Mytilus edulis: one gene and its partners. The protein of the gene in region 3 purifies or fractionates together with the protein of the main gene of each other region. This does not show direct contact. Links are inferred from orthologs where the notes say so. Each region holds a gene or a part of one and is shown on either strand. Other genes may lie near its edges. The genes, in order: BAG family molecular chaperone regulator 2-like, dnaJ homolog subfamily A member 2-like, transcription factor Sox-2-like and T-complex protein 1 subunit gamma-like.

The links.
Region 1: the proteins of transcription factor Sox-2-like (region 3) and BAG family molecular chaperone regulator 2-like purify together in Homo sapiens (affinity purification with mass spectrometry; 3 studies listed by BioGRID and IntAct, with this or other methods). This does not show direct contact. The link is inferred for Mytilus edulis from reciprocal best matches to the Homo sapiens genes SOX2 and BAG2.
Region 2: the proteins of transcription factor Sox-2-like (region 3) and dnaJ homolog subfamily A member 2-like purify together in Homo sapiens (affinity purification with mass spectrometry; 3 studies listed by BioGRID and IntAct, with this or other methods). This does not show direct contact. The link is inferred for Mytilus edulis from reciprocal best matches to the Homo sapiens genes SOX2 and DNAJA2.
Region 4: the proteins of transcription factor Sox-2-like (region 3) and T-complex protein 1 subunit gamma-like purify together in Homo sapiens (affinity purification with mass spectrometry; 3 studies listed by BioGRID and IntAct, with this or other methods). This does not show direct contact. The link is inferred for Mytilus edulis from reciprocal best matches to the Homo sapiens genes SOX2 and CCT3.

Annotation. Positions count from the first base shown.
Region 1 is NC_092344.1:97,260,620-97,268,279, forward strand, and holds the start of BAG family molecular chaperone regulator 2-like, read right to left. Parts: upstream 3,020-7,660; 5' UTR 2,942-3,019; coding exon 2,725-2,941; intron 1-2,724. UniProt on the Homo sapiens protein: Co-chaperone for HSP70 and HSC70 chaperone proteins. Acts as a nucleotide-exchange factor (NEF) promoting the release of ADP from the HSP70 and HSC70 proteins thereby triggering client/substrate protein release.
Region 2 is NC_092348.1:49,350,888-49,358,019, forward strand, and holds the start of dnaJ homolog subfamily A member 2-like, read right to left. Parts: upstream 3,005-7,132; 5' UTR 2,926-3,004; coding exon 2,857-2,925; intron 1-2,856. UniProt on the Homo sapiens protein: Co-chaperone of Hsc70. Stimulates ATP hydrolysis and the folding of unfolded proteins mediated by HSPA1A/B (in vitro).
Region 3 is NC_092346.1:79,535,772-79,543,154, reverse strand, and holds the start of transcription factor Sox-2-like, read right to left. Parts: upstream 3,023-7,383; 5' UTR 1,580-3,022; coding exon 617-1,579; 3' UTR 1-616. UniProt on the Homo sapiens protein: Transcription factor that forms a trimeric complex with OCT4 on DNA and controls the expression of a number of genes involved in embryonic development such as YES1, FGF4, UTF1 and ZFP206. Binds to the proximal enhancer region of NANOG.
Region 4 is NC_092347.1:37,354,399-37,362,074, forward strand, and holds the start of T-complex protein 1 subunit gamma-like, read right to left. Parts: upstream 3,005-7,676; 5' UTR 2,931-3,004; coding exon 2,909-2,930; intron 2,820-2,908; coding exon 2,758-2,819; intron 1-2,757. UniProt on the Homo sapiens protein: Component of the chaperonin-containing T-complex (TRiC), a molecular chaperone complex that assists the folding of actin, tubulin and other proteins upon ATP hydrolysis.

The DNA of each region.
Region 1 (7,660 bases), on a different chromosome or scaffold from region 3:
CTCTTCAGAAAAAAATATTGTTTTAAGAAAACTTATATCTAACACTGCTTTAGAATAAACAAAAAGAATCATTGGCGGATCCCTTTTTTTTGGCCGATCAATGCATTTGAATGGGGACATATAGTTGGAACCCCCCCTTTATCCTGTGTTGGGACCCCCCCCCCCCCCCCCCTTTTTAAAATGGCTGGATCCGCACCTGAAAATTCAAAAAGATTTATAAATTTCAAAATTAAAGCATATATACATGTATATATATTATAGACTTTAATATATATATATATACCGGTATATATATGTCTATTCAATGCAGTGTACAATGTACTTAAGATAAATATATGTATAGTCTTTTTTTTTCTTCACTGTGAATACCACTGTCACTCTAATATAATTGTAATCAATTTAACTATATTGTCAGTTCATTGTCTTCATTTTGTATGCCATAACCATTTAATGTAAATGTGTTTGTGCTAATAAATATTGCCTATTGTCTTAAGATGTTAATGTTTAGTACCGGTATTTGTTCCAAAGAAATAAAAGGATGGTCAACGTTTTCTGGGGAACTTCTGCTAGTACTAAAGGAAGGACAAATATCTGTTAAGTATTTAAGTAAATGCTGTCATAAGGCTGCATACTAGGATTTGCAGGAAAAGCCACCAAAATGAATGGCTACATTCTATATACATGGTATACATATGTACTAATGTATGTATAAATGTTTAAATTATCATTGCTACATGTACATGTATGTTCATTAAATAATTTTGTGTTCATAATGATATACATTTTTTTTTCAAATATGAAAACCGAGTTATACAGGGTAATGAAGAGAGGAGTGTCCATGTATCCTGATGCTATATTATAATACACACAATTTGCAAAGAATTTGAAAGATGTTAAAATCTGTGGCTAACATTGAAAAGTTATTTTATGGTTACCGTTCATTTCTGTATGAAATTGGGTCATCCTTCAAAATACATATATACAGTTTGTGGCAATTGTCTCATTAGTCATTTGTTAATGTAAAAAATTATTGCGTATTGTTACTGCATGTACTTTTTGCGGGTAACTAAGTCCAAATAATTATGAGGTCAGGCAAGGCTATTTTAATTTTTTTCTGGGACGCATTCCTACGTAGGAAACGTAAGAAGGCGTCCCAGAAATTTTTTTAAATAGCCTTGCCAGATGTTATAATTATTTGGACTACGTGACAGGTAACTGTACCCAGGGGCAGTGCCATATTTATCATTTTTTATAGGGCTTCTGTACAATTAACGGTAAATATGGTCCAAAGGAGAGTTTTTAAGGTTCATCATAACAAATGGACAGTTATGGCTGTATTTTCACCTCAAAAACTACTCTGTGTGCAGACTTACCTGTGCTGTTTGGAAAGTTTTAAGGCCTAGCATCCACTAGATATATAAATGTTAAATGCATTTTGTGTTTAAAAAAGATAAAATTTTCTTGGTTTGGTGGGCAATTTTTTTCCTTTCTGCAGAAGGTGTAAAAATAACAAACACCTGAATTACTTTATGATACTGTCCACTCAGATAAACTCTTTAACTCACTTATAGCAGTGTATAGTTGTGAAGATACCTATTTTTCATGTCAATTAAGGACAATCAAAACAATACATTCATGGGCACAATTTAGAACTGGTGGACTCAGCAAAATATCTAGGCGTCACAATCCACAAAACTATTAATTGGAACACCCACATAAAGAGTATAGCTAAAAAGGCTAATTCAACCAGGGCCTTCATCCAAAGAAATCTTCAGCACTGTCCCCAACAAACAAAAGCTGTATGCTTCACAACGCTAGTAAGACCATTGCTTGAGTATGCATGCTCAGTCTGGGACCCGTTCACCAACCTTAACATACAGAAATTTGAAAGTGTGCAAAGAAGATCAGACCGTTATGTATTGAACAACTACCAACAAACCAGCAGTGTAACATCAATGCTAAAAACTCTATAGTGGCAACAACTAGGGGAGAGGAAGGCCAACTGCAAAGCAGTAATGATGTACAGGATAGTAAATGGCCTTGTAGCAATACCAACGCTAGAGCTACATGTACACACTATGTATCATCCGTAGCAAGAGGACACACAACACGATTTTTCATACCCTATGCCAGAACTTCAACATACAGGCATTCCTTCTTTCCAGACAGCATATAGATATGGAACAGCCTCCCACAACCTTTGGTAGACAGTACAAAAATGTACATCACTAGATGCTTTCAAGCAGGGGGTACTGAGCGGCAGTATCCCTTAATCATTGTTAATCGCACCATCAGACCATCTTGCACCTGTAAATATTTTCTTGCACCTTTGTTGTCACACCCAGCATGGGCAATAATGCGATAATACTCAATTAGAGGACTGCACTGTATTGGACATGTTGGAAGAAGAAGAATACAAACCAGGTTTTACCTGAGCGAGCATCTCAAAGTTGTACCACAACTTAGTTAACTGGTTAATTTTCACACCTAATGCATGAAGGAAAAAAATGACCATCAAATTCCAAAAGAGATTTTATCTTTCTGCAGAACAAAATGCATTTAACTTTAATATATCTAGTGAATGCCGGGCATTAAAACTTTTCCAACTTCACGGGTAAGTCTTTACTCAGAGTAGTTTTTGGCATGTAAATACAGCCATATTTGTCCGTTTGTTATGATGAACACACACACACTCTTCTATAGGTTCCAAGATATGTTGTTTACCAGTTGAAATTTCTAGGTTGAGATCATTGTCCTGTATTTTTTGGAGAGTTGCTAGTATTGTTTCTCTTTCTTGTTCCATTGCAATAGCCTGTTCTCTCAATTTTTCAACCCTCCTTTCCACATCATCCATTAAATTACTTAAGTATGATTCCGAATTTTCAGATATTTGATCAAATCCTGGGTATTCAATACTAAGAAGTTTTTCTTTAGCTGCCATATTGTCTTTTTAACTAGAAAGTGAAAACAACAAACAGAACAGTTTTTAATTTCCGTACATTTTAAAAGACCGGTACGTAGTATGATTAGAAGTTTTTACTTACTTCCTGTCGACAGAGTTAGAATATCCCCCGATTCTACCACGAAGAACCACAATAAGCACCACGGACTTTATCAGTAAAATAAATACATTTGGGCAACTATGAGTTATTTAATGTATACGTAGATATTAAGATACATCAAATAATCATTAAATGAAAAGTTAAAATAAAAATAATTTAAATCGATTTTTTTTTTAATATGAACTTCATTAATCAAGGATTTGTATAGTCTAACTATATATACAAATCCTTGCAGTAATTAAGCACCACAAAAAAACAAACTGAACACCACGGGACGTAATTTCCCTCCCAATGGTCCAACAGACGGGTTAAAGAGTCTAAAATACTCTTTGGGGTCCAACTTGGTTTGTAAGGCCCATTGGTCCATATGCACCTGGGGTTCAATCTATATATCTATGGGGTCTTTTAGGGTATATTTCATTAAAAAAAAATATAAGCACCACCGAAAACGGACTTAGCACCACGGGAGGTAGCTTCCCTCCCATTGGTCCAACAGACAAGTATATGGGTTTATAACACTCTTTGTGAGTCCTAGTTGGTTTGTAGGGCTCATTGGTCCACACGCACCTTTGTTCCAATCTACAAGTCCATGGGGTCCTTTAGGGTATATTTGATTAAAGAAAAATATAAGCACCACCGAAATAAAACTTAGGACCACGGGAGGTAGCTTCCCTCCAATTGGTCCAACTGACGTGTATAGGGGTCTAAAGCACTCTATTAGGGTCAAAGATGGTTTGTTAAGCTCATTAGTCCACAGGCACATATGTTCCAATCTACACAAGTCCTGGGGTCTTTTGGTGTATATATCATTTAAGAAAAATATAAGCACCACCAAAAATGGACTTAGCACCACGGGAGGTGGTTTCACACCAATTGGTCCAACTGACGTGTATAGGGGGTTAAAGCACTCTATTGGTGTCTAAGATGGTTTGTTAAGCTCATTAGTCCACAGGCACATATGGTCCAATCTACACAAGTCCTGTGGTCTTTGGTGTATATATCATTTAAGAAAAATATAAGCACCACAGAAAAAAAACTTAGCACCACGGGAGGTAGCTTCCCTCCAATTGGTCCAACTGACGTGAATAGGGGTCTAAAGCACTCTATTGAGATCTAAGATGGTTTGTAAGGCCCATTGGTCCATATGCACCTGCGGTTCAATCTATAAGTCTATGGGTTTTTTTAGGGTATATTTCATTAAAAAAAATATAAGCACCACCGAAAACGGACTTTGCACCACGGGAGATAGCTTCCCTCCCATTGGTCCAACAGACAAGTATATGGGTGTATAACACTCTTTGTGAGTCCTAGTTGGTTTGTAGGGCTCATTGGTCCACATGCACATTGGTTCCAATCTACAAGTCCATGGGGTCCTTTAGGATATATTTGATTAAACAAAAAATATAAGCACCAGCGAAATAAAACTTAGCACCACGGGAGGTAGCTTCCCTCCAATTGGTCCAACTGACATGTATAGGGGTCTAAAGCACTCTATTAGGGTCAAAGATGGTTTGTTAAGCTCATAAGTCCACAGGCACATATGTTCCAATCAACACAAGTCCTTGGGTCTTTTGTTGTATATATCATTTAATAAAAATATAAGCACCACAGAACAAAAACTTAGCACCACGGGAGGTAGCTTCCCTCCCATTGGTCCAACAGACAAGTATATGGGTGTATAACACTCTTTGTGAGTCCTAGTTGGTTTGTAGGGCTCATTGGTCACATGCACCTTGGTTCCAATCTACAAGTCCATGGGGTCCTTTAGGGTATATTTGATTAAAGAAAAATATAAGCACCACCGAAATAAAACTTAGCACCACGGGAGGTAGCTTCCCTCCAATTGGTGCAACTGACGTGTATAGGGGTCTAAAGCACTCTATAGGGGTCTAAGATGATTTGTTAAGCTCATTAGTCCACAGGCACATATGGTCCAATCTACACAAGTCCTGGGGTCTTTTGGTGTATATCATTTGAGAAAAATATAAGCACCACCAAAAATGGACTTAGCACCACGGGAGGTAGCTTCCCTCCAATTGGTCCAACTGACGTGTATAGGTGTCTAAAGCACTCTATTGGGGTCTAAGATGATTTGTTAAGCTCATTAGTCCACAGGCACATATGGTCCAATCTACACAAGTCCTGGGGTCTTTTGGTGTATATCATTTGAGAAAAATATAAGCACCACAGAACAAAAACTTAGCACCACGTGAGGTAGCTTCCCTCCAATTGGTCCAACTGACGTGTATAGGGGTCTAAAGCACTCTATTGGGATCTAAGATGGTTTGTTAAGCTCATTAGTCCACAGGCACATATGGTCCAATCTACACAGGTCCTGGGGTCTTTTGGTGTATATATCATTTAAGAAAAATATAAGCACCACCAAAAATGGACTTAGCACCACGGGAGGTGGTTTCACACCAATTGTTCCAACTGACGTGTATAGGGGTTTAAAGCACTCTATTGTGGTCTAAGATGGTTTGTTAAGCTCATTAGTCCACAGGCACATATGGTCCAATCTACACAGGTCCTGGGGTCTTTTGGTGTATATATCATTTAAGAAAAATATAAGCACCACCAAAAATGGACTTAGCACCACGGGAGGTGGTTTCACACCAATTGGTCCAACTGACGTGTATAGGGGTTTAAAGCACTCTATTGTGGTCTAAGATGGTTTGTAAAGCTCATTAGTCCACAGGCACATATGGTCCAATCTACACAAGTCCTGTGGTCTTTTGGTGTATATATCATTTAAGAAAAATATAAGCACCACAGAACAAAAACTTAGCACCACAGGAGATAGCTTCCCTCCAATTGGTCCAACTGACGTGTATAGGGGTTTAAAGTACTCTATCGGGGTCTAAGATGGTTTGTTAAGCTCATTAGTCCACAGGCACATATGGTCCAATCTACACAAGTCCTGGGGTCTTTTGGTGTATATATCATTTGAGAAAAATATAAGCACCACAGATTTTTTTTTTAGCACCACGGGAGGTAGCTTCCCTCCAATTGGTCCAACTGACGTGTATAGGGGTCTAAAGCACTCTATTGGGGTCTAAGATGGTTTGGTAAGCTCATTAGTCTACAGGCACATATGGTCTAATCTACACAAGTCCTTGGATCTTTTGGTGTATATATCATTTTAGAAAAATATAAGCACCACAGAAAAAAAACTTAGCACCACGGGAGGTAGCTTCCTTCCAATTGGTCCAACTGACGTGTTTAGGGGTCTAAAGCACTCTATTGTGGTCTAAGATGGTTTGTTAAGCTCATTAGTCCACAGGCACATATAGTCCAATCTACACCAGTCCTGGGGTCTTTTGGTGTATATATCATTTAAGAAAAATATAAGCACCATTGAAAATGGACTTAGCACCACGGGGGGTGGTTTAACACCCATTGGTCCAACAAACGGTTAAAAGGATCTATAATGCTCTTTTGGGGGTCTAACTTGGTTTGTTAGGCTCATTAGTCCATATGCACCTGGGGTTCAATCTATAAATCCATGGGGTCTTTTAGGGTATATTTCATTAAAGAAAATATAAGCACCAGCGAAAACGGACTAAGCACCACGGGAGGTTGCTTCCCTCCCATTGGTCCAACAAACGAGTAAAAGGTTCTAAAATACTCTTATGGGGTCTAACTTGGTTTGTAAGTCTCATTGGTCCACATGCACCTTGGGTCCACTCTACATGTCCATTGGGTCATTAAGGGTATATTTCATTAAAGAAAAATATAAGCACCACCGAAAATGGACTTAGCACCACAGGAGGTGGATTCCCTCCTATTTGTCCAATAGACTAGTATATGGGTTTATAAAACTCTTTGTGAGTCCAAGTTGGTTTGTATGGCTCATTGGTCCACATACACTTGTGGTTCAACTTCCAACTCATTATGGTGCTTTAGGATATATTACATTAAATACAGATATAAGCACCATCAAAAACGAACGAAGCACCACGGGAGGTGGCTGGCCTCCCATTGGTCCAACAAACGGGTAAAATGGTCTAAAATATTCTTATGGGGTATAACTTGGTTTGTAAGGCTCATTGGTCAACATGCACCTGGGGTCCACTCTACATGTACATGGGGTCCTTTTGGGTATATTTCAATAAACAAAAATATAAGCACCACCGAAAATGGACTTAGCACCACAGGGGTAGCTTCCCTCCCATTGGTCCAACAAACAGATAAGGGGTTTTAAAATACTCTTTGGGGTCTAACTTGGATTGTAAGGCCCCTTGGTCCATATGCACATGGGGTTCAATCTATAAGTCCATTGGGTCTTTTAGGGTATATTTCATTGAAGAAGAGAAAAGCACCACCAAAAACGAATTTAGCACCACAGGAAGAAGTTATCCTTTAATTGATATAAGATAATAGGCCCAGGGTCTAAAGCACTCAAGCATGGTCCACCAGCTTTTCTAGAATAGTCTACAAGTTAAAGAAATCCACCCATCTCATCTATTTATAAGCACCACCAAAAGGAAATAAGCACCATGGTTAGGAGCTAGCCTCCAATAGGTCTACGCCTCAATGTCAATGGTCTTAAGCGATCAGTTTGGGACTAATCTGATAAACACACCATATAGGTCCAC
Region 2 (7,132 bases), on a different chromosome or scaffold from region 3:
TCACCGTTTACGTGACAGGAAACAAAACAGGAAACCAATCTTTATTTTCTTTATTTTGCACAATATATTTCAAAAGACATAAATGAACACCATTACTAGTGTTACTTGCTTCATGTTAATATTTAAAATCTATTTTCAATGTTAAATTAAAGTTTTTTTTAAACGCGACAGGAAACCATAAGAAACCGAAAGCATTTTTTTAGTTTTATTTTATTGCAAAATCTGCTTAAAATGATCTGAACAGTATACTTTTTCTTAAAATCCATCTTAAATGTAACAGTATTATAAAACTCCTAAATATGTGCTTGTTTTGAAAACAATTAGTACAATTTATTCAGGAATTTCCGTATTTTCTTCATTGATACAGGATACCATAATCGTTGTATCTTGATGTTTTAGCCAAAAAAATGTATTTATATTTGGTTTTGAAATTCCAGTTATATACAATTTATTCCAAATCATTGGTAATGTAAAATTCTTTAAATCCAGTAAAGAAAACAACTTTTAACTTGGAATTAGCATCTTTAAAATAGGCACCATGTGATATTTGTGACCTGTACACCATCTACATGGTTTCCACATTTTAACCTACTTTAGTGGGCTAAAATCAATAAAGTACTTCCTTTCAAGTAATGCATGGTAAAAGTTTACTTTTCCTTTGACAAGTTTATTGCGTTTCTGATAAGTGTTTGCAGAACATGAATAAAAAAAATTAATTAAAAATTGTGACAAAGATACCAACTTTGTACATTCCAAGTGTAACGGTACATTAACATGTATTTTTTATTAAATTATCTTTATTCACCTAAAATATCCAGTAATATTTACTGTTGAAGCTAAATCAATCCAACGAACATTGGCACCATGATAGGAGACGTAATTTCGATTGAATTTTCCAAGGACCCTTCACATCGTTATTGGGAAACGAAGTGTGTTAAAACGTCGGTCAAATCTGAAATCGATTTTGTCAAGTCATTGGGCATTTATTTTCACACAAGATCGTATGTAACATTATGCACATGGGAAAAATAATAGACCCCCGGCGCAATCTCTTTGAAAATTGTATTTTCCTTTTTTAAACAAGACGAAACAAGCCTACAGATTATGTTTGCTTACATCCCGTTGGAAACAAATACAATGTTTAGACCTAGTATTTCGTATATCCGGCTGTAAGGGCGTGATCACATGTTAGTCACATGTTTCACGTATGACCGGAAATGATTAGAACTTAACGACAAAAACAATTTTAATAAATAAATGGACTTCTGTTTCGTGTGAAATGTAACGCATAACGATAACGTCATTTTCTAACTTAATTATTACGAAGAACAAAACAAGAATGTAAATCATCTCTGATTTACCTGTTTGAACATCTCGCGAGAGTTCGTATTAGCATATTGTTGCAAAGAATTCTTTTACAACAAAGCAGATTAAACCATCTAAAATGTGCGTTACGAAATGGGAAACCAAAATAACGACAGTGTTCTTACACCTGCTACAGAAATACTTATAGTTCTCGGCATTTTCTTCTCACTATTCTTATTGGTCGATGTTCTTTGTTATTTTAAAGCAAAAATTACGAATTTGCCGGTGACGATTATCTATAAATTAGTCAGCGTTATGCACTTCGGACGCGAAAAGTAACGCGAGAAACGACACACAAATACGGTCGTATAATCTTTGAAATTTGTTAATTTCAATTTTTTTTCTAGGGAAGAGTAGCATACACTTGTATGTTGATAAAAATAATGGCATCTTTAGATGTAGTTACAACTTTTCTTACAGTAATTCACATTTTATCACTTTTCTATAGTTATAGGAAACGGAGCCCAATAGCAAATTATGGTCCATATCTCTTACCTTTTCTTATAGCTACATTGCATTCGGAACCCATATGTAAAACTGGTAACCAACAAGAATGTGTCCAAGGTACACGAATGCCCCACTCGGCACTATCATTTTCCATGTTCAATGGACCGTGAAATTGGATAAAAAATATAATTAGGCATTAAAATTAGAAAGATAATATCATAGGGAACATGTGTACTAAGTTTCAAGTTGATTGGACTTCAACTTCATTAAAAACTACCTTGACCAAAAACTTTAACCTGAAGCGGGACAGACAGACGAACGAACGGACAGACAGACGTACAAACGGACGCACAGACCAGAAAACATAATGCCCCTCTACTATCGTAGGTGGGGCATAAAAACAGGAAAGCAGTTTAGTCAAACGGAGTTATAGAAACATAGCGAAAGACAACGCAGATGGCGCTGTATTTTCACTTCCGTGAATGGAGGTTCAAATGGACGACAATTGTAGAACAAAATCAGTAAAACAAGACACAAAACCTCCGCAGACCTATTTAAACGTTGAGAAAAATATCTCATGAATCTAAGGATGTACTTTTTATGAAAAGTAAGTGAGTTTTTATATGAAATTTTTATCGATTTCCTGACCTGATCCTCCAAAGTGAAAGTAGGTCAGTCATCGAAGGTAATTACCTTCTTCTTTTTTCACTTGGGGCTCGTATGGATAGTAAAAAAGTTATTGCAATCGACTAGCAATGGATTGTTGAGACTTGATACATTTTTAGAAAATTGAAAATAAATAAAAAAACACCAATTTTTTTTTAGAGAGGTCCAAAAAAGGGGGGTCCATGCCCCAAATACCTGTGGGTAATACATATAGTTTAATTTATCATTGTGCAAGTTCAAACCATGGAACGTTCTAATTTTCTTACTGAAATCCTGAGTCACCATCCGCCTTTGAAAGTGACAAAATTCATATTTGAAATTAGTCAGGTACAGATAAGGCGTAAGGATTGACATATACTATTGCTTTTTCATTGATACCTTTTTGATTTCATTGTCTTGGGCAGATCTACTGACGCCTAAAATGTCGTATAATTTTGAGTCTGCCATTTTCACGAGGTTCGATGATCAAGCACTGCCACCTATGACAGGAACTAGCGGTTGCTACATTAAGGGGAAATAATATTTCCCGCGTTTGAAGTCTCTTTCCTCCAATCTTTTGAAGTTTTTTAAAATACATGTACTGGAAATTTTGTAATAGACAATGTCAACAGTGGCGGATCCAGAAATGTTCATAAGGTGGTACCCACTGACTGCCTAAGATTGGGCCCGCTCCAGTCATGCTTCGGTGATTCCCTATATAATTTCCTATATAACCGATCAATTTTTTCACACAAAAAGGCCCCCCCCCCCCTTTTGTGTGAAAAAATTGGTATGAAAAACTCTCTTAATCAAACTTATAATATCTTTTGCATTGAACACTCTGACTTGAATATAATTTTAAGAAATAATGCCCTTACTCTATATGAATTTTAAAAAGTCTATTATAAAGGCTGGACGAATTAAATGGTGTAATCAAGACTGTGCTCGCGGCAATACATCCGTACGACCGAGATACAACAGGATACATTAATGGACAAAGAAGTTAATAACTATAATTCGGATATACTCTTTTTCAGTGGTGACACAAAAAGACGATTCTCAAATTTAAATGTGTTTTTCTTTTTTTCTTCAATTTAGCTAATATTCATGATGAATTTGAATTTTTTTTCAGTGCTACTGAGACAGGGACTTTTAATACTATATGTTAGTATAGAAAGTCCCTGACTGAGAAGACAAAATCACAATGATTTGTCATTTATTCTGACAGAGACACATACTATATACTAATTGTATTATATGTCTCTGATTCTGATTTCTATATTTTATTTTTAGTTTTAACGATTTTTTTTTATTTTAACAATTAAACTTCTATTCAAAGTTCCAGGAAAAAACATGAACATATCAGCAAAAGCACTGACGTACAATGAGTATTACGAACGATTTTTGTTTATGAACATAGTATGTGATGGCTAAGGTTTGTTATCCAGAAACTTGGCCAGCATCACGAATTAGTCAATTGAATATCGATTGTACATTATAATCCTGACTTGGTTAACTCAAGTGTACTATCGTTAACGTAGATATATGTTAAACTTGGCAAACCAAAAAACCCCACACATTGTCATAAATGATCATAAATCAGCCGAACCGAAAGCATCAAGAAACGCAACAATGAAGTTTGGTTTTCCGAACATCTTTGTCATTCTCAGTAATAGCGTATGCACGATCGATATGTGTTATCAGTTACCGCTGTAAGCATTCAGATAGCGAGCTCAGGTTACTAAAATTTTTTACTTCAAAAATGGGTCCGACTTGTCAAAATGAATGAGCACTGATGCACCAGTATCATTATTTACACTAGAGATATATATGTCTCTGTTTACACCAAGCGTGACATTGATAATAAGTTCGTTTAAAATTTTGCAAGCAGATCTCAACGAAGATGAAGTTGGAATCAATTTTATAAATCAAGAGTTACCATTACATGTACTTGTCTCTAAAAAAAAGTTATCTTTTTTTTTGTCAAATTTCATGCATTCTTTTTAAAAGCTTCATTCGGCTGGTTTTTAGACTTATACCTCGAATTTGACATAAGAAGTCATCTCAGTATCAGAATCTATGACAAGCGAGACGATTTTAATCTTGAAATTATCAATTTTCCCAACCTTAGTGGCAAAATACCAACTTCACCTGCATATAGGATATACATTCCCAAACTCATTCGGTATTCTAGAGTTTGCATGTTATTGTGCGCTGGTCATTTTTTTGTATTCTCGTCTTTTATATTTGCTAATATGCCTTGTATATATATGTATGTCATTTTGTTTTTCTTTGTTGACATTTTTTAAAATAATTAAGATTATAACACAATTTTTAATATCCATTTTTAGATGGTGACGCTAACCTATGTCACCATCTTATGGTGTTTATATTTCTCAACATGAAACGAATGACTTGTGAAAAATTACCAATGCATGTAGTAAATCATAAACTTAGTCTTCTGTGCACGATTTTAACATTTCTTACGCCAAAATATCGTATAATCGTCAACTTTTTTTCTCTCTGTTTGTTATGATTTAACAAATATGTCAGCTTATTAATCGCCGTGTTTTGAAGACGTAGTTTACCGATTGTCACCTTATAGTAAACAATCATGGGAACAAAGAAGTATGGATATTGAGAACGTGTATAACATTTACAATCAGATCATAGATTATTTCAATGACAGATCCATGCGTATTGCGATCACCGGGTTTTTACTAGGAGGGTCACGCTAAGGTCACTTGCATATGCGAAAAATATTTCGGCGAATTGCTTCCTAAAAGCAAGCAATTGTAAAAAAAGAAAACTTCTTCTAAATGTGGACAAATTAAAGAATTTTCTTCAAAAAAAGTATATGTACATAAGTTTTATAATGAAAACTATCCATTTAGTTATAAAAAAAATATGCATATTTTTTTCTTTAATTTGCGGTTTCACATGACTTTAATTGTTCGGTTTGCTCGTGTATGTAACAACGTATTAGATTTTAACGAAAGAAATCCTTGAATTACGGAAAAATTATTAAATTTGTGGTTTTCAATATCACAAACTAGTCAAAACATTTACTTAATTTTTCATTGTACTGAAGAAAAATACCCAAGATAACAATGGATACATAAATTAAGTATGCTACTATAGCAGTTACTGACATATTGCTTATTTTTTTTTGCCAAGTTACCTATTCTTACATCGGACTAGGACTTATTTTAAACTGAGCTTTACTGTACGTATTGCTGTGTGTTTCTTTATTCTACATTTGAGAGAGTTAATATCTCATAAAACATGTTTAACCCCGCCACATTTTTTAGCCCGTCCCAAGTCAGGAGCCTGGCCATTGTTAGTCTTGTATGTTTTTTTTTAAATTTTAGTCAATTTATATGTTTTGGAGTTGAGTGTGACGTCCATTTTCAGCCACATTATGTATGTATGTGCCTGTCCCAAGTCAGGAGCCTGTATTTCAGTGGTTGTCGTGTGTTCATGTGTTACATATTTGTGTTTCGTTAATGTTTTTATATAAATAAGGCCGTTAGTTTTCTCGTTTGAATTGTTTTACATTGTCATTTCGGGGCCTTTTATATATGCGGTATTGGCTTTGCTCATTGTTGAAGGCCGTACGGTGTCATTTTTATCTCTTGTGGAGAATTGTCTCATTAGCAATCATACCACATCTTCTTTTTTTTTATATATATTGTACACATTTATAGTTAGGAGTCAGCTGCAGCTCACCTAAGTGTACAGGATTTTCTCGCTGTGTTGAAGACCCATTGGTTGCCTCCCCCTGTTATCTACTCTTTGGTAGGGTTGTTGTCTGTTTGACATATTCCTCATTTCCGTTCTCAATTTTATAGTGTACCCTTATTTTTGACATGTTTATCAATTATTGAGCCTTTCATTTTGTCAATTGATATCTTGGCCTTCTCATTTTGAATTCTCAATGGATTTCGGTATTTTTTTATTTTACTTTTCTATTGCATCTGTATATGTTATATTATATACAGTAATATAGTTGAGAAAAAAGAATTAGAGACAAGTAAGTGCCTGTGATCTTTCTTTGTAATTCCTTCAGGCCTATTGATGGATTAAACAAATGGTTTTGTTCAAAAATTTCTGGAGAATCCCCTGCACATGGCCTAGGACTATAATTAAGTTACTATAGTAGTATAATATTCCCAAACATGGCATTCCAGATTAACCAACTATGGGTTCACCGGCTTTTGGACGGAAAAGACACGTTTGAAAAAAAAAATTCCATTTGAGATAACGAATTACGATTTATATTCAGATCCCGAAAATCGCCACGATTGATTAATAATTCTATGCTTCATAAAATGTATATCTTCTGCTTTAGATTTATCTCCCTTTAGCCGTAGAGTCTAGAGATCTATATAAATTATTACACATTTTATTTCCTGTATTTAGTTTACAGCATAATTTTTTCAATGTTGTTCTCAAAATATAACAAGGTTTTCTCATATATATGCATTTAAAGACTTGCCAGATATCTAATATTAAATTTTTGATGGCCTTATTAAAAAAATACTAATTTACTATAGAAACCTATTGGACATGTATTGTTTGACAAAAGCTTCGGGCGAATATTATCGGCTTTGTATGAGTATCTGAAAATTATGTTATACAATTTCAGTTACCAACTATGAAATTTTAATCATTC
Region 3 (7,383 bases):
AAAAACTAAGTAGTTTGGTTTAGTTCAAACAAAATCATTTTACCATATAAACCTAGAGCCACATAAAGTTGAAATATATTTAAAAATTAAATTTTAAACATAAAAATATATACGGAACATTACCACGATTTAATACATAAACAAAACAAAATCTAATCATACTTACAAACCTACTTCAAGAAAATTGAATTTACCGTGAGCAAATATATATATGTGTGGAAAATTTCCCTAAATTTGTTTGGCGAATTTCGAATCCGACTTATTATGCTAAATATATTCTACAAAATTATCTCGTTTCAACAGTTCGTGTATAAATAAGTTGTTCACTTCTGTAATGATTGTAATAAAATTATATAGATCTATTTTCAATAATTTCAGCACATTTTTTTTGCAAAATTCGCACCATATAACTCAAATAAACATTCACACACGCACGCGCTCGTCTCATTCGATTTGTCTGCTTTTCAAACATGCTATACAGTCTTACAAATGTCATGGATTTCGACGTTCATTCATTCAACAATGTAAAAATGATAAACAATATATATATAATGGGAAATATAATGTTTTCTCTCGCAGCACAAATTTGTAAAACAAATTAAAAAAACAGAAAATATTACATATGTGTCAGTGGCACAGTGTTATTTACCCCTGCAGCTTCCGATGACGCCGTTTGCTGATAATGTTGTTGCATAAGTCTATGGTGAGCAGCGGCACTATTTGGATCGTTGGCATCTCCCGGTAAATACATACTAATCATTTCCCGTAAATCTCCTGCTTGACGGGGTTGTCCTGGAACTTGTGGTTGATTTGGTTCCCTTTTTACGGACGGAGGAACCTGTGATGGAGACATAGAATACGGATTCATTCCTACGGACATTGTGTAGTTTGAGGTCCCATTCATATATGATGCGGATGTCATCTGATTAGCAGACATTTGTTGAGCTGGAATAGAATAATTGCCATACTGAGCTAGTCCCATTTGATTTGCCATATGATAGGCATTTGGATCGTGCATCATGTTCATAGGATATCCATTCGGCATATATCCATTCATTCCGGGATACATTCTGTTTGGATCAGACTGCAGCTGTCCTCCACTGCCGGGCATACCGGGTAAAGCGTACTTGTCTTTCTTCATGAGGGTCTTTGTTTTCCTGCGCGGTCTGTACTTGTAATCAGGATGATCCTTCATGTGAATTGCTCGAAGACGTTTAGCTTCATCTATGAACGGACGCTTTTCGGATTCGGATAACAATTTCCATTCAGCACCAAGTCTCTTACTAATTTCAGAATTATGCATTTTAGGATTTTCCTGGGCCATTTTCCTTCGCTGACCACGAGACCACACCATAAAAGCGTTCATGGGCCTTTTCACACGATCGTCAGCTTTCTTGTTACCAAGACCATTGTTGTTATTGTTGTGTTGTCCATTCATGTCCGGAGATGGAGGAGAATGTACTTGTTGTTGCGATGGATGTTGATGCATGTTCATACCTCCAGTAACTGGCACATGCATTCCTTGTGATGCTGGTGGTAAAGTTGTAGTTGGTCCCTGTTTAGATAAGTCACTATCCATACTATAAAATTTGAACAGTGTTCCACGTGCTTTATACAAGTCCAATACACTGATTATAATAACTGAAGATAGTCAATAGCTTTTGAATAAGTTCAAGTCCAATAAATGATAAATCTCAATACGGCTTTCACTACCAAACTATAAAACAGGTCTTATAATTTCGACTTCTTCTTATTCTTTTGGCTAATACGGTTTACTAAACAAGGGATATCGATTCGTCAGTGAAAAATAGACACTGCCCCGTCCAATCAAATTAGTTCTTTCTTGGTTTTGGCGAGTTATTCACGGTAATATTAAAAAGTGGGCGGGACTTCGCAGGTAAAGTTTATTGTCGTATCCAAACAATTGAGTGAATTCAATCATGTTGAGAATCGCTCATGTCGTGAAAAGTGGGCATGGTCTAATATTGACATGCAGATGAAAAATTATCCGTTAGAATTTTTTTTACAGGTGTTGTTATTTTTATATTTCATTACATTTCAAAATATTTTAATAAATATAAAATTCAAGTTACTCATTAAAAAAATAATAAAATTTTGTGTAATGATTTGGGAATAATTGTATTTTTTCTAACGCATTTAAACGTGGACCTGAAATAGTACAACAGTCCAATCTCTGTCCAATGTCATTATATTAAAAAAAAATTCATAATGATAAAATAAATAATGAAAAGAGCCCTTTTTCTTCTAATTATAGTTTTATGGTTTCAAATTGAAAACCGAGATAAAAAGGGGGGCAGAGACTCTTTAATAAGAAATCTCACTTCAGTTGGCGATACAGACACTTTTATAGCAAGCAAGGACTAACAGCTTATCTGTCGATAATTAAAATTTCAGCAGTTAGTATTGATGTAAAAAAAAAAATCAGCATCTGATTATAAAATACTAATTTATTATGAAGAATCTAGATTTGAATTCTTATTGTATTTTGCGCCCTGATTGATAGAAAATAAACATCATCTTATTCTTACCCAGAAGCGTGTTGGAAGCTCTTGCGGACGGGTGGCGGAGAAGCATGTTATCTATACAGTATAAAATGAAAGACAATTAAACAGACTAGAAAAAAAAATAACAAATTTTAAAAAAAGAATTGCATTGAATTTGTTTTGTTATTTTGTTGTTTATTTAAATTTTCAGTGATATGGAGGCAAAACCAGCGTTGTAGATTTCAGAATAGAGCAGGCTATGTCGCAACAAGGCAGCACTTGCACCCGCAAAGTGGGAAGGGATTTATATAAGTTTCAATAACTTTTTCCCCAAACCACTATAAATTAATATGGTTAACTCAACCACCGTTGAATTAAGACAGTAGTGTAAATTTGATCCCCCCCCCCCAAAGTTTTGCAGAATCAAATCAGGTCCACTGTTTACGATAAACTTTTTTGAAAACATAAACAAACATCTTTTTTTTAATTTATTATCATTCACATTATTGTTTTATTATTATCATTATTATCTCTATTTTAGAACGAAGGGGACTTGCGCAGTATGTGCCATAAACCTCAGACCCCTAAATTTGTAAATTTGTTTCAAATCTGTAACTTAAAAATCTAACAAATGATATAAAAGACAGAAGCGATTCTACTAAAACGTAGATATTTTTTACCAGTACGGGAGAAACATTGACAAGTCTTATGTGTGTAGCATCTAACCAAAACAAAGCCATGCATGGCAGACTAAACCTAGGTTTTTATCATTTCTATAAGTAAATCTTTTAACATGTTGTTACATCTGTAACCACCATTCTAACATTATTGTATAATGTCCTGTATAATTCATAATGTAACAAACATCACAAACATCACAAACAGAAATGCTGCTATACGCGTGACTTTACATTTGTTAAAAACATCTCTGGTTTCTTTCCAAATTACGGCCAACTGACCTCTTTTTAAAAGATATAGTATTATCACTAAAAGCTGCAATTTTTCAAATTTCTACATGCAAAAAAAAATCTCTTACCTGCTTTTTAAATATTTTGTAACAGATTTCTCTTTCTTTGGAATTGTTCTATTCATTTAAAGACGGTAACGGTAAATTTGTTTACTGCTTTTATAAACAGCGTGTTTAATTGCCCGCAAATATAAATATCATTCGATGTATACAAAAGTAACTCTTTATATAAGAGTAAAAGGGATAAAGTATTTATTTCTTTTGATATACATTTGTATACATGTTATAAAAGGTTTCAATTACATTTTTGTATTGTATTTTATATCTATAGTATTGAGAAAGGCAAACAATAGAACATTGAATGGCCATTGTAATTTGGTCAAAAGAGGAATCAAAAACGTCTAGTTCTACTCTGACCTTGGCCGTGAGGACAATGATACAATTAAAAATTAAGGAATTGACCCACATTTAAAAATATAAACATTTACACGGGCTTTTTACCTTAGTTTAGGACGTGTGTGTTATGATCTACTTGTTGAAATGCGTACCAGCTTTGATCTTAATTGTTTGCAATAAGAGTACCACATATATTCAGATAAAACATACGAAAATGAAATGTTTGCAATAAGAGTACCACATATATTGTGGTAAAACATAACAAAAATGAAATGTTTGCAATAAGAGTTCCGCATATATTGGGGTAAAACTTAACAAAAATGAAATATTTGCAATAACAGTTCCGCATATATTGTGGTAAAACATAACAAAAATGTAATGTTTGCAATAAGAGTTCCGTATATATTGTGGTAAAACATAACAAAAAAGAAATGTTTGCAATAAGAGTTCTGCATATATTGGGGTAAACGTAACAAAAATGAAATATTTGCAATAAGAGTTCTGCATTTATAGGGGTAAACATAAGAAAATGAAACTTCAAAATATAATCCTAAAATATTTATCAAATATTATATTTTGACTTTATTTCTACTTTGTATTTGCTATATAAATAATTCAGCTGTATATGGTAAGTAAGAATAAGTTGAAACAAACATTTGCACGTGTTATAGAATAGTTTTATCAATAGTTTATGAAATTTACCCCCATCGCCAAGTAGAGAAAGCAGAGGATTAAGGGTTTTATCCTTTACATTGTTCTTAAATCCTAGGCATCGTGCGTTGTCAACGAGATATAAAGAAATGGGGGATCTAAACACAATGTTCGTTAATTACTTCGGTCAACTAAAAGTGAGTCAGCTGAGAAACTTTTCCTTTTCATATGTGAAAATTGAGATCAAAGAATCGGCAATAAGTATAAACTGTGTAATACATTCCACACCTGAAGAATTGGACCTTAATTTTAGTATTATAGGTAGTGTCAAATACAAGATTTTATTGTTTTTCGTGACAATCTTGGTATTTTTCATTAAATCAAAAACAATCTAAATTTAACAACATTTAAACAATCGTAAAGTTTTATTTTGGAATAATCATAAAAACAACTTTAATTTATTTTGATTTGTTAGAAAAGAGGTAAAATAAATAATAAAACACAACCGATCAGTTTTCATCTACTTTTGGTGTTGTTAAACCTGGAAATACTTGTATGTCATAAATTTGTAATAACAGAAAATACCAAATGATCATCATAATTTAACCTATACTGTAATTCTGTTTAAACGATATTTCATAATTCTTAAAACACTATGATTTTCCCAGAAGCAGTATTTTATTCATTTGTTCATTCTAAATGAGTTTTCCCTTAGTTTATCATCTAACCTATGTAGTTATTTGATTAGAGGCGGATGGTTTTTTCCAGTGACATGCATTATATGAATATGATACTTATTTAATTATTATCTAGACTATTCAATATCATTTAGATTAATTATATCAATTAAAATTCATACTTCTAACTTTTTCGTCCGTTTACTTCATTTTCCCCCTAAAATTCTCCTTATATATTAAAGAAGCACATTGTATTTGAATCAAAGAAGTTGTTTTTCTTCTGGTTTTGTTTTTTGTTTCTTGCTTCCTTTAGAAGCTTTAAAATTATTGCTATGGAGAGTGTGGAATTTATTTAAATATTACTGCGACATATTATTTTCTAATCGTGTAATATGAAGGTACAATGTGAATCGTGTATATTGAGGATTAATATATGATCGGCCATATCAAAACAGTTCCATTTCTTTTTTGATTTTTAAGTTTGAATTTTATAAATTGGCGACATCTTGATGTATGTGCCAAGCCAAATAATCTTTATTTTCAGTGATAATCGCTTGACATCCTCGTTTTGTCATATAAACGGAAAGTGAAAATGGAATTATATATGACAATAGTAGAAAGCGGATGCGATTAATTGATTTAGTCTAATTAACGGGTACATCTCGGTAGGAACCCCCCGGAAAATTAAGGTAAAAAGTTCCTTCAATTATCAAATTAATGAATGACAGGAAACAAACAGGGTGAAAATTAATTGAATTCCAGGTCGTAGAGTATATGTCTATTTTCATAGGTGTGAGGTACAATTTAATTGGAAGTAGAAAAGAACTAAATTATCATTCACAACTAACGGCATTTTTTCTCTTTATTTTACACTATTTTTCTACCTTCCAGTGGTTCTCATATAAACAAGGTGACAAATCTGAGATTGGAATCTAATTAAGTTTTTCTGTTCAAACGATTGCTTGATTGTTCTGATAAAACAAAATGTACACCGAAAAGTTACATGACACGGGTCCGAGTTGTTTACATAATTATTAAACATCTGAAAATTATTGCCAAGAATCAAAAATTACTTCCAGAAAATAATACTCATATATAGTATAGACAGTTGTCGCGAATTAATTAAGATATGCTTAATTATTTCAAAATTGCCTCATATCTGGCAGACTTCTTTTTAATATAAATACAATATACATTCATTAACGAAAACTGATGTAAAACTTATAAAAATGTGTTTTTCTCTGTACCGGGTAATGCATTGCTCACGGGATTAAACATTTATATATATATATATATATATATACACAATTTGTAAAAAAAAAATATATACGAAAATGTCTTTTACAAATATTTTAAGTTTACAAAAATTAACGCAGTAAATATAGAATTCTTTCAATAACTGATAGCCCTATATTTTTTTTTATATATATAAATTTGCTCTATTTTGGTATGAGAGTACTAAATATAAATAGCTTATAAGATTTATACACAACCCTTAGATGGTGAACTTTTTTCAAATCACATATATTTTAAAGTGTGTATTATAAGTGTACTTTTTGATAGAATGATAACATTTTAACAAATGTATTGAAATGTAAGGTCTTATCTTCAACGAAAGTATCAAAATAGAAGAGTACTTTTGTATGTTCAAATTCAAAAATGGCTTATATTTAACAAATATTCTAGACAGAAAGAAGAAATTTAAACGCTTCTGTAATGACATGTACAAACATAGTTAAGTATTTTTCCAAATAGATACAAAGCAAAGCAGTCGTCCGTGAAATACTACGTAAAAGGTTAAGCCAGCAAATTTATCGTCGCCATCTTGGATCAACAAAATAAACTAAAGTTTTGAACATTCTTAAATTTAATTTTCAACATCTCTAGGGTAATTATAAACCAAATGCATCATATCGCTTTACTGATGTCCACTATATGCATGAAAGTGATTATTTTATACGGAAATTCTGGGACTTGTTTCCTGATGTAAACACGGTTGCTCTTATGCAAGCTTCACTCTCATGGCATAGTAAATTCTACCGTGTTAAAAAAAAATCAAAAAAATAAACTGATTAGTTCTAGAGTATCAGTTTACATGCACACGGTGACAGTTTTTCTTGCAGCGTTGCGATTTATATCGAGACATGTACACCAATGTCAGATTTCACACCTGGTGCCAAGATGTAAA
Region 4 (7,676 bases), on a different chromosome or scaffold from region 3:
ATAGAATTTGACTAATTCATGAAGGCATTGGTGCACATACATGTACTAAGACTTCTAACATCCAAACAAATGGGAAGCAACTCTCGTGCAATTTCTGTCAAACAAAAAATATCCATAACAAATGAACCCAATAATATCAGAATTAACAGTAGCAATTTATATCAAATCTTTGGTAAAATTATACGAACTTGGGCAAACTTAAATGTTTAGGTAGCAATACAGTTAGGAAAAAAACTTAAAATTGACACTCATAATTTTAAACACCCTCTTTCCCCTCCTGTCTAGCAAATGAGGCTTAATACTTGTGTTATGCATGTATATATTTATAGAAAGAGAATCTTCCATAGATTTGATTTCTTATGGTCAAAATGGTAAAATATAATACCTTTTGGGTATAACCATGGCAACAATCTGCATTTCTTTGATAAAAAATATAGCAAAAAAGGGGGGTGAACATGTCACAATAGTCTCCAAAATTTGGTCCATAGGAAAATTTCAATCAATTACAGTGATACCTTCCCTGAAACCATAGGTTTATATCTATTAAGTGGTCCAAAAAAAATCATATGCATTTCTGCCTGATTTTCCACAAAATTGAATTGAAAAGATCGAGTGCAAAATCTTTGTTGATAAACACTACGATAATTTATGGACCTATGGGCAGTACAGATAGGAAAATACAGACTGTCAAACAGATAAATGGCCTATAAAACATGCTAAAAACAATCTAAATGTTCATATAAACCCTATAAGAAGGCTATATTGTTCTTCAATTATCTAAAAGTCAATTTTATTGTACAAAAACTTTCATATTTAAAAGATTCACCATGGCCATAATGTGAAACTAAACTTGGATCTCCTGTAGTTGGTGATCGCAATACTGGTATACCAGTATTGTCCACAATACTGGTATAAAAATTTTGTACCAGTATTGTAACTTTTTTTAAAAAAACAGCAATACTGATACATTACTGATATACCAGTATTGTAGTTGTATTGTTGACTATATACTTTAAGGTGTATAATGAAAATTGAATTTTAAGCAAAATTAGATATTGAAGATCAAAGGGAGATTAAATGAATTCAAAAAGATTATAGAGGATAATTGGGAAATCAATTAACAACCAGTTAAATATAGATTCTACCACTGCATCGAGTGTAATACGATATTTATCCACTCGAGACAGTTAAATTTTCAAATTTAAAACGCGAGGCTTGCCCGAGCGTTTTAAATATTTAAAATTTAACTGTCGAGAGTGGATAAATATCGTATTACGCGAGATTTGGTGGTGAAATCTGTTTCTCTAATGATTTCCTAACATTATGCATGCAAACTTATTCCTTCTATTCGAATGATCTGCAAAAAGATGTGTTCTTTCTATGTGACGTCATCAGGCATGGTCGCCTTTTTTCATGCCGTCACAATAGGAAAGCAAAAAAATTCGACGTCATAATCAGATTTAAACCAATGAAGTACTGAGATCAAACGAACCACACGTTGATTAAATTTTTTTTATACAATAGAAAGGGATAAATTGACGAAGAATTAGAGAAAAATAAGTACAATACTTGTACAAATCAACAAAAGATTATTGTAATTAACTCATATTATTCAACAATTGTTAGTTATATAAATAATTGCTAAAAATCTTATATTTCTATATTTTATTTAATTCAATTCAGCATTTACATGTATGCCATCGTATATTTTTTTACAGATATATTTTAATACATATAAATGCTGAATTGAATTACATAAAATATAGAAATACTGGTACAAATACTCAAATACTAATACTGGACAAGCACTCCTACAGTAAGAGAGCTGACAGGTGCTACATGTATCTAAATAAGCTTGTAACCTAGTAAGCCTAAGAGAAAGTGCATAGACTGAAATACATTAATATCAAAATAGGAAGTGGGGTGGCATAAATGCCATCTGAAGAAGAAATAAACAGTACCAACGTGAATGTGATAATACATGAAGCTTTTCATGTATAACAGTATTAAAGTCAATATAAAATTCACTAAAATATACTTTTGTCTTGGAAAGAGAGAGCTGGAGACATTGAAGAAAGCAAAGAGTTTGTTAATATGCTGAGACAGTAGTACTGAGTACAGATACCATCGACGATACCTTGAATGACTGAATAACACTGTTAATTTCCAAATAACACTTGAAATTTTAATATTAGCACATATTATTGGTGACTTTTTTTAAAACATTGAATATTAAATAATATTATATTATAAACATGATAAATATAATTTATAAGTTAAACATCCAATCATTCCATTTAAAATTGTCATGTCATATGCATTATGCATATATATGTGACACCTTTCATAAAAGATTAATTACCTACAAATGTATATGTATTGTTTATTTAAAAAAAAACCACAATACTGGTACAATACTGGTACAAAAATGGACAATACTGGTTTACCAGTATTGCGATCACCAACTACAGGAGATCCCTAAACTTCTGTGTATAATTTGCTACCTTATCCTTCAGGACGGATAAACCTGGATTGGAACAGAACACCCCCCTTTTTTCAAGTTTTTGCCAGTAAAGTAATTTTCCATTCAATTTTTGGAATGTTATCTCAGTAATTTGTCATAATTATATGAAGAAAATTTACAAAAATATAGACAAAATGTAACCAATAGTGCAGTTACAGAAAAAAGGTGAATTTTCTGGAACATTCTTATTTTGATATGGCTATGGCGACGACCATGTGAAGACATGTTCATACCTTTCCTGCAGCAATGTTGCCTTTCTGTACAACCTTGCCGGTTTCCCGCTTGGTGTTTTGGTCTGTAATATAAATAAAAAGGATTATCAGTTGAATGATTGAAATTTTATTCGATAATAGGGCGTCGCGATACAAAATATTAGAAACTTACTGAGTACGATTATTCCAGACATGCTTTTTGTTTAGCCGGAAATCAAGTGGCGACTCAATAAATGAAGTCCGATAACTCGGAATTTCCCGCCACTTTAGCAACACTTTAAAACATTTTTTATCAGCACTGCACTAAGAATTCATGTTTTAACTTTTAAATTTTATTTGATAATTTCAATTTTTTATTTTTTTTCTCTGAAAGGATTTTTTTTAACATGGAGTGAATTGTTTAGGGTCTGGATGGGGTCAGTTCTCGAGGGTCAGACAGTTACACTGAGAAAAGACAATAAAAGGTCAATTCTACAGAAAATGGATAAAAAAAATATTGAAGAATAATAGTGTGCTTAAATATAGGGAATAATTGGTAAAGTTTATCAAAATTAAAAATTAAACGGCCGAAAAAAATACTCGGACAGAGCTGATACTACTATGATATGTACTATATGTACATGTAATATAAGTGACTTCGTTTTTTATCGGATATTTTTCAACCGATTTCAACATTGATAGTAAAAAAATATTCTATCATGAAGAACGTTGAAAGTAAATGATATGAAACTCCGAAATCTTATATTAATTTATAGGACTACCATTCCAGACCCTCGCTATTCAGTCATATAGATTTACACTGACAATATACTGAATTTATTAGGTATTTGCTTTTTAAAATGACAAATAAAAACCCAAGGCATTGAAGAAGAAACAGCAATTCTTTTTTCATATATAATCATATATAAAATATGTATTTATTGTTAACTTGTTCTCGTCCTGAACATGCATGAAATATTTGCCACTGGACGTTGAACAACTCGACTGAAAAATCAATCAATCAATCAATCATAACGATCGGCACACTTTGATTGTCAACGGAATAACGCATGCATTATATCCACTGCAGTGAGTGATCCAGGGGAGGGTTCAGGGGGTTGGAAGTTTGGAACCCCCTTTTTTGGACGATTAATGCATTTGAATGGGGACATATGCATGGTTGGAAACCCCTCCTCCTTCTACTGGGCTGAACCCCCTTTTAAAATGGCTGGATCCGCCGCTGCACTGCATAACACAACTACTTATAATCTGTTCCTCTCATTTATTTACCAATAATAGCTAATATTTCATAACACAAAGTATATATGTACGACTCGAAACTCGGTGTGCGATGGGGACGCTGAGGCTCGATCGATGGTCACGGTGAAGTGCGATGGTCCGTTCGCTGATGTGCAATACACCTTATCGCTAATCCCGGCTGACCCGGCCGCTTGAACTTTTGACGCACACAACAATCACTTTTCCATTGTGAAGTCAGATATTTTGCTTTATGACGTCAACATTTAACGGGAACCTGTGCAATTTCCATTAATGGCGGACAGATAGCGACAAGGTGTATGGTCTATATGCCGCTTTGTTTGAAATATACAGATCTAGACGTGTTAATATTCATTTGTTTTATAGATATATATGGTATATGAATTGTGTATGCATGTCCTTAGTTACATATGCATTCTAAATCACTCTCCGTATTCCGTAGTTTATTGGCCCCTTATTAATTAAGAAACCCGAAAAACTGCCGCTCTACAGCAACACAAAATGTATCGTCGACCTAAAGCAAACAAACTTCCTTCTTCCAGTGACGCATTGAAATCAAACGTTAATTTGTTATTGTTTGTAACCAAATTGATTTTTCGATTTTATTCAGATATCTGCAGACGATTTCCGTCCAAAACGTTTCGAAACCACAAACATATAAGAACTTTAAACTGACAGTCTTTGAAATTGAAAATTACGAATTAAAATTTGAACGTGGCCAAATTTTGATGAGGATGAGACGTTACTAAGTTGTAAAACTTGTGTCCGATCCATTCGTTATTTTGAACAATAAAATATGTTTAAACTAAACGAAAGTGTAGAAGAAAAACTATGCATATTTAATTTTGCTAAAATCAATAAAGCGAAACTGAATTCCATTTTATCTTTGATTGCCCTTTGTATACATGCATATATATTGAATGTCGTACGTATTTTGGTGAACTTTTAATTGAGGAAAATTTCTCAGATTCGAATCACACTGAAAAATTGAACTTTTCAATGACTTTTCACTAAAGAAAATGAGCAAAAATATATAGTTCGGACAATTCCCATAAGACGTCATGTGCAGTTGTGGCTTTAAATACCAATTTAACACCTTACAAAAGAGTTGTTATAATTTTCGACGAGTACGATCACACACACATACGCACTTATCATCAACTCAAATCAAATATTTTATTATTCCAATCAAGGTCCAACAGAGGGCATTTACAATTAACAACTATGATAGTTTAAGCAACAACCATAAGACATTATACAGTATTTAAAACTACCCGTTCAACTGAACCAATTAAGAGCCTAAACGCAAATAAAGAAAAAATGAAAAATGGTAAAAAGCTCTTCCTTGTTCTATATGACATAAGCGTTCATCGAGTTCCAACCAAAATGAGAAGAATCTGTTTTACGTTGTTTATTTTGATTTTAGTCTAGGCTAGCACACATCCACAGAAACCACACGAGTATCTCAGATAGTTTAATTATAAGCATGGCAGGGCCGTAACTACCTATGAGGGAGGGGAGGGAACTGCCTCCCCTGAATTTTCTACACCAATTTTTTTTTATTGAAGTAATAAAATGAAATATTGACAATGAGAACTTGAATTTATATTTTAAACAACACAAGTTTACAGTTTTAACAGTGTTATCATGATACGTGATATATTTGTCCTTTTTCTGGATTTTTGATCGAAAGTGAACCGTTTCAGTATTTATTTTTTGGTTTTTTTTTCGTGTGGCCGTCCGTCTGTTATTCAGTATTCGTACGAGATCACATATGAACTTTGCTTCCGACAATTTTGAATAAAACTTAACTATTCACATTTATTTAGGGGCTCAATTAAGCAGAGAAAGTTCCCTTTGAATTGTGAATTCTTTTATGATATCGGAAATTCGTCACCAGCTGAATCAGATGTTGGGTGATTTTTTTAACTGCGTCTCCCGATCGTACGAGAACATTATGGTCAATGCCTTATTAGTTAAACAATCCCATTCGTTGTAGCAGTGACTTTCTATAGTAAGTATATATAATACTAGACTGTATTGAAAGTCCCTGGTTTTAGTTATATACATGTCTGTTCAGCTTTCAACAATATAGAAATTCAAGGTCCTCGATAAAAAAAAATTATCTTGCGTTCTATGATCTTGCTTTATATGTTTTTTTTAACTTACTAGTTTGATTTCTAACAAAAGTATCTTTAAATACAGATAATAATTATTTGCATAAAAATTGCTTCCAGGATCCACAATTACTGATGTTTCTTAAAGTAAGGAGATCGAAGGAAAACGGGTCATTTTTAGCCATATTGAGAAAAAGAATCCGCGGTCACAATGTATTTAATGTTAATAATTATAGGCCAAAGTACGGCCTTCTAACGGAGCCTTGGCTTACCCCGAACAGAAATCTCAGGTTGTTTTTGCATACAAATTGTTTCCAGGTTCAAGCAATACCGATGTTACTTAAAGTAAGGAAATCCAAGGAACACGGGTCATTTTGAGCCATTTTACTGAGAGAGAAAAACGGCAGGGGGCTGTGTCCCCAAACCCCCTGTCTTTGGGATCTCAATCGGCGGTCCCCAAACCTCTGCCTCCCCTGAATTCGAACCCTAATTACGGCCCTGCATGGTACCTTTGAAAACTATGATAACCAAATGATAGCCCTTCCATGTTTTCAAGCAATTTCTGTTTAAAACAATGTCATAAAACTATGAAAATTTACAATTTAAACGTGAGAAAACTATATTGACATATATAACTATGACAATATCATATACAGGTACTTATTTCATATATGACTAAATAATTACATTATAGACAAAATTATGACAATGTACATATCATATAGTCTACACTATGACAATGTCATATAATTTGAAACAATGTCAAAACTTGTTCAAGCATCAAACACGTCAACCTTTAAAAGGTAAGATAACAAAAATCCCAAAATCCGAGCGAAATTCTAAACGGAAATTCCCTTAGCAAATGTCAAAATGAAAAGCTCAAACACATCAAACGAATTGATAACAACTGAATTGAAGGCTAAATCAATAGACTATAACGCCAGTTTGCCAAACCTTTAAGTTAAAATTTCTTCTTAACGGCCTTTAGTGAACAACATCCAACCCCTCAAAAAAGCAAGATGGCATCGAGTATTTAGGGTAAATAGTTCCTATGGACGAATACTGTTACATGTAATGCAGTACAAGCTAATCTTTATTTGTCACCTAAATATGTTTCAATGACATTTTTGTATAATTTCTGTATTGTACCTTCGATATTCATTCACTTAGATACACGGAATTAACTGAAACTCGTAAATCGATACGTTTCCTTAAAAATCAACATTAGCTTGTACTGCATTACATATAACAGGATTCGTCCATACCAATTTTGAACAAATACAGTCATCTAGCAGGCCTCAAGATTTTTTGGAAAATTTAGTGTCACCACAAAAACCGGTTTGGCCACAACATAACAATTTCAAGTTTGTTTACATGTATGTATATGTTAAGTATGTTCAAATAAACATATGTTCCCACAGTTAAGGACTTTATTCATCTTAGGTTGAGAAATAGAGGCAAAGTTTTGATGTTTATGCAGTGTCCTATTTTTTTACTTTAGTTGAACCTTCATGACACTCGTCGTGGTGAAGAAAGGCGATGTAATGATAGCTGTACATGTGTTCT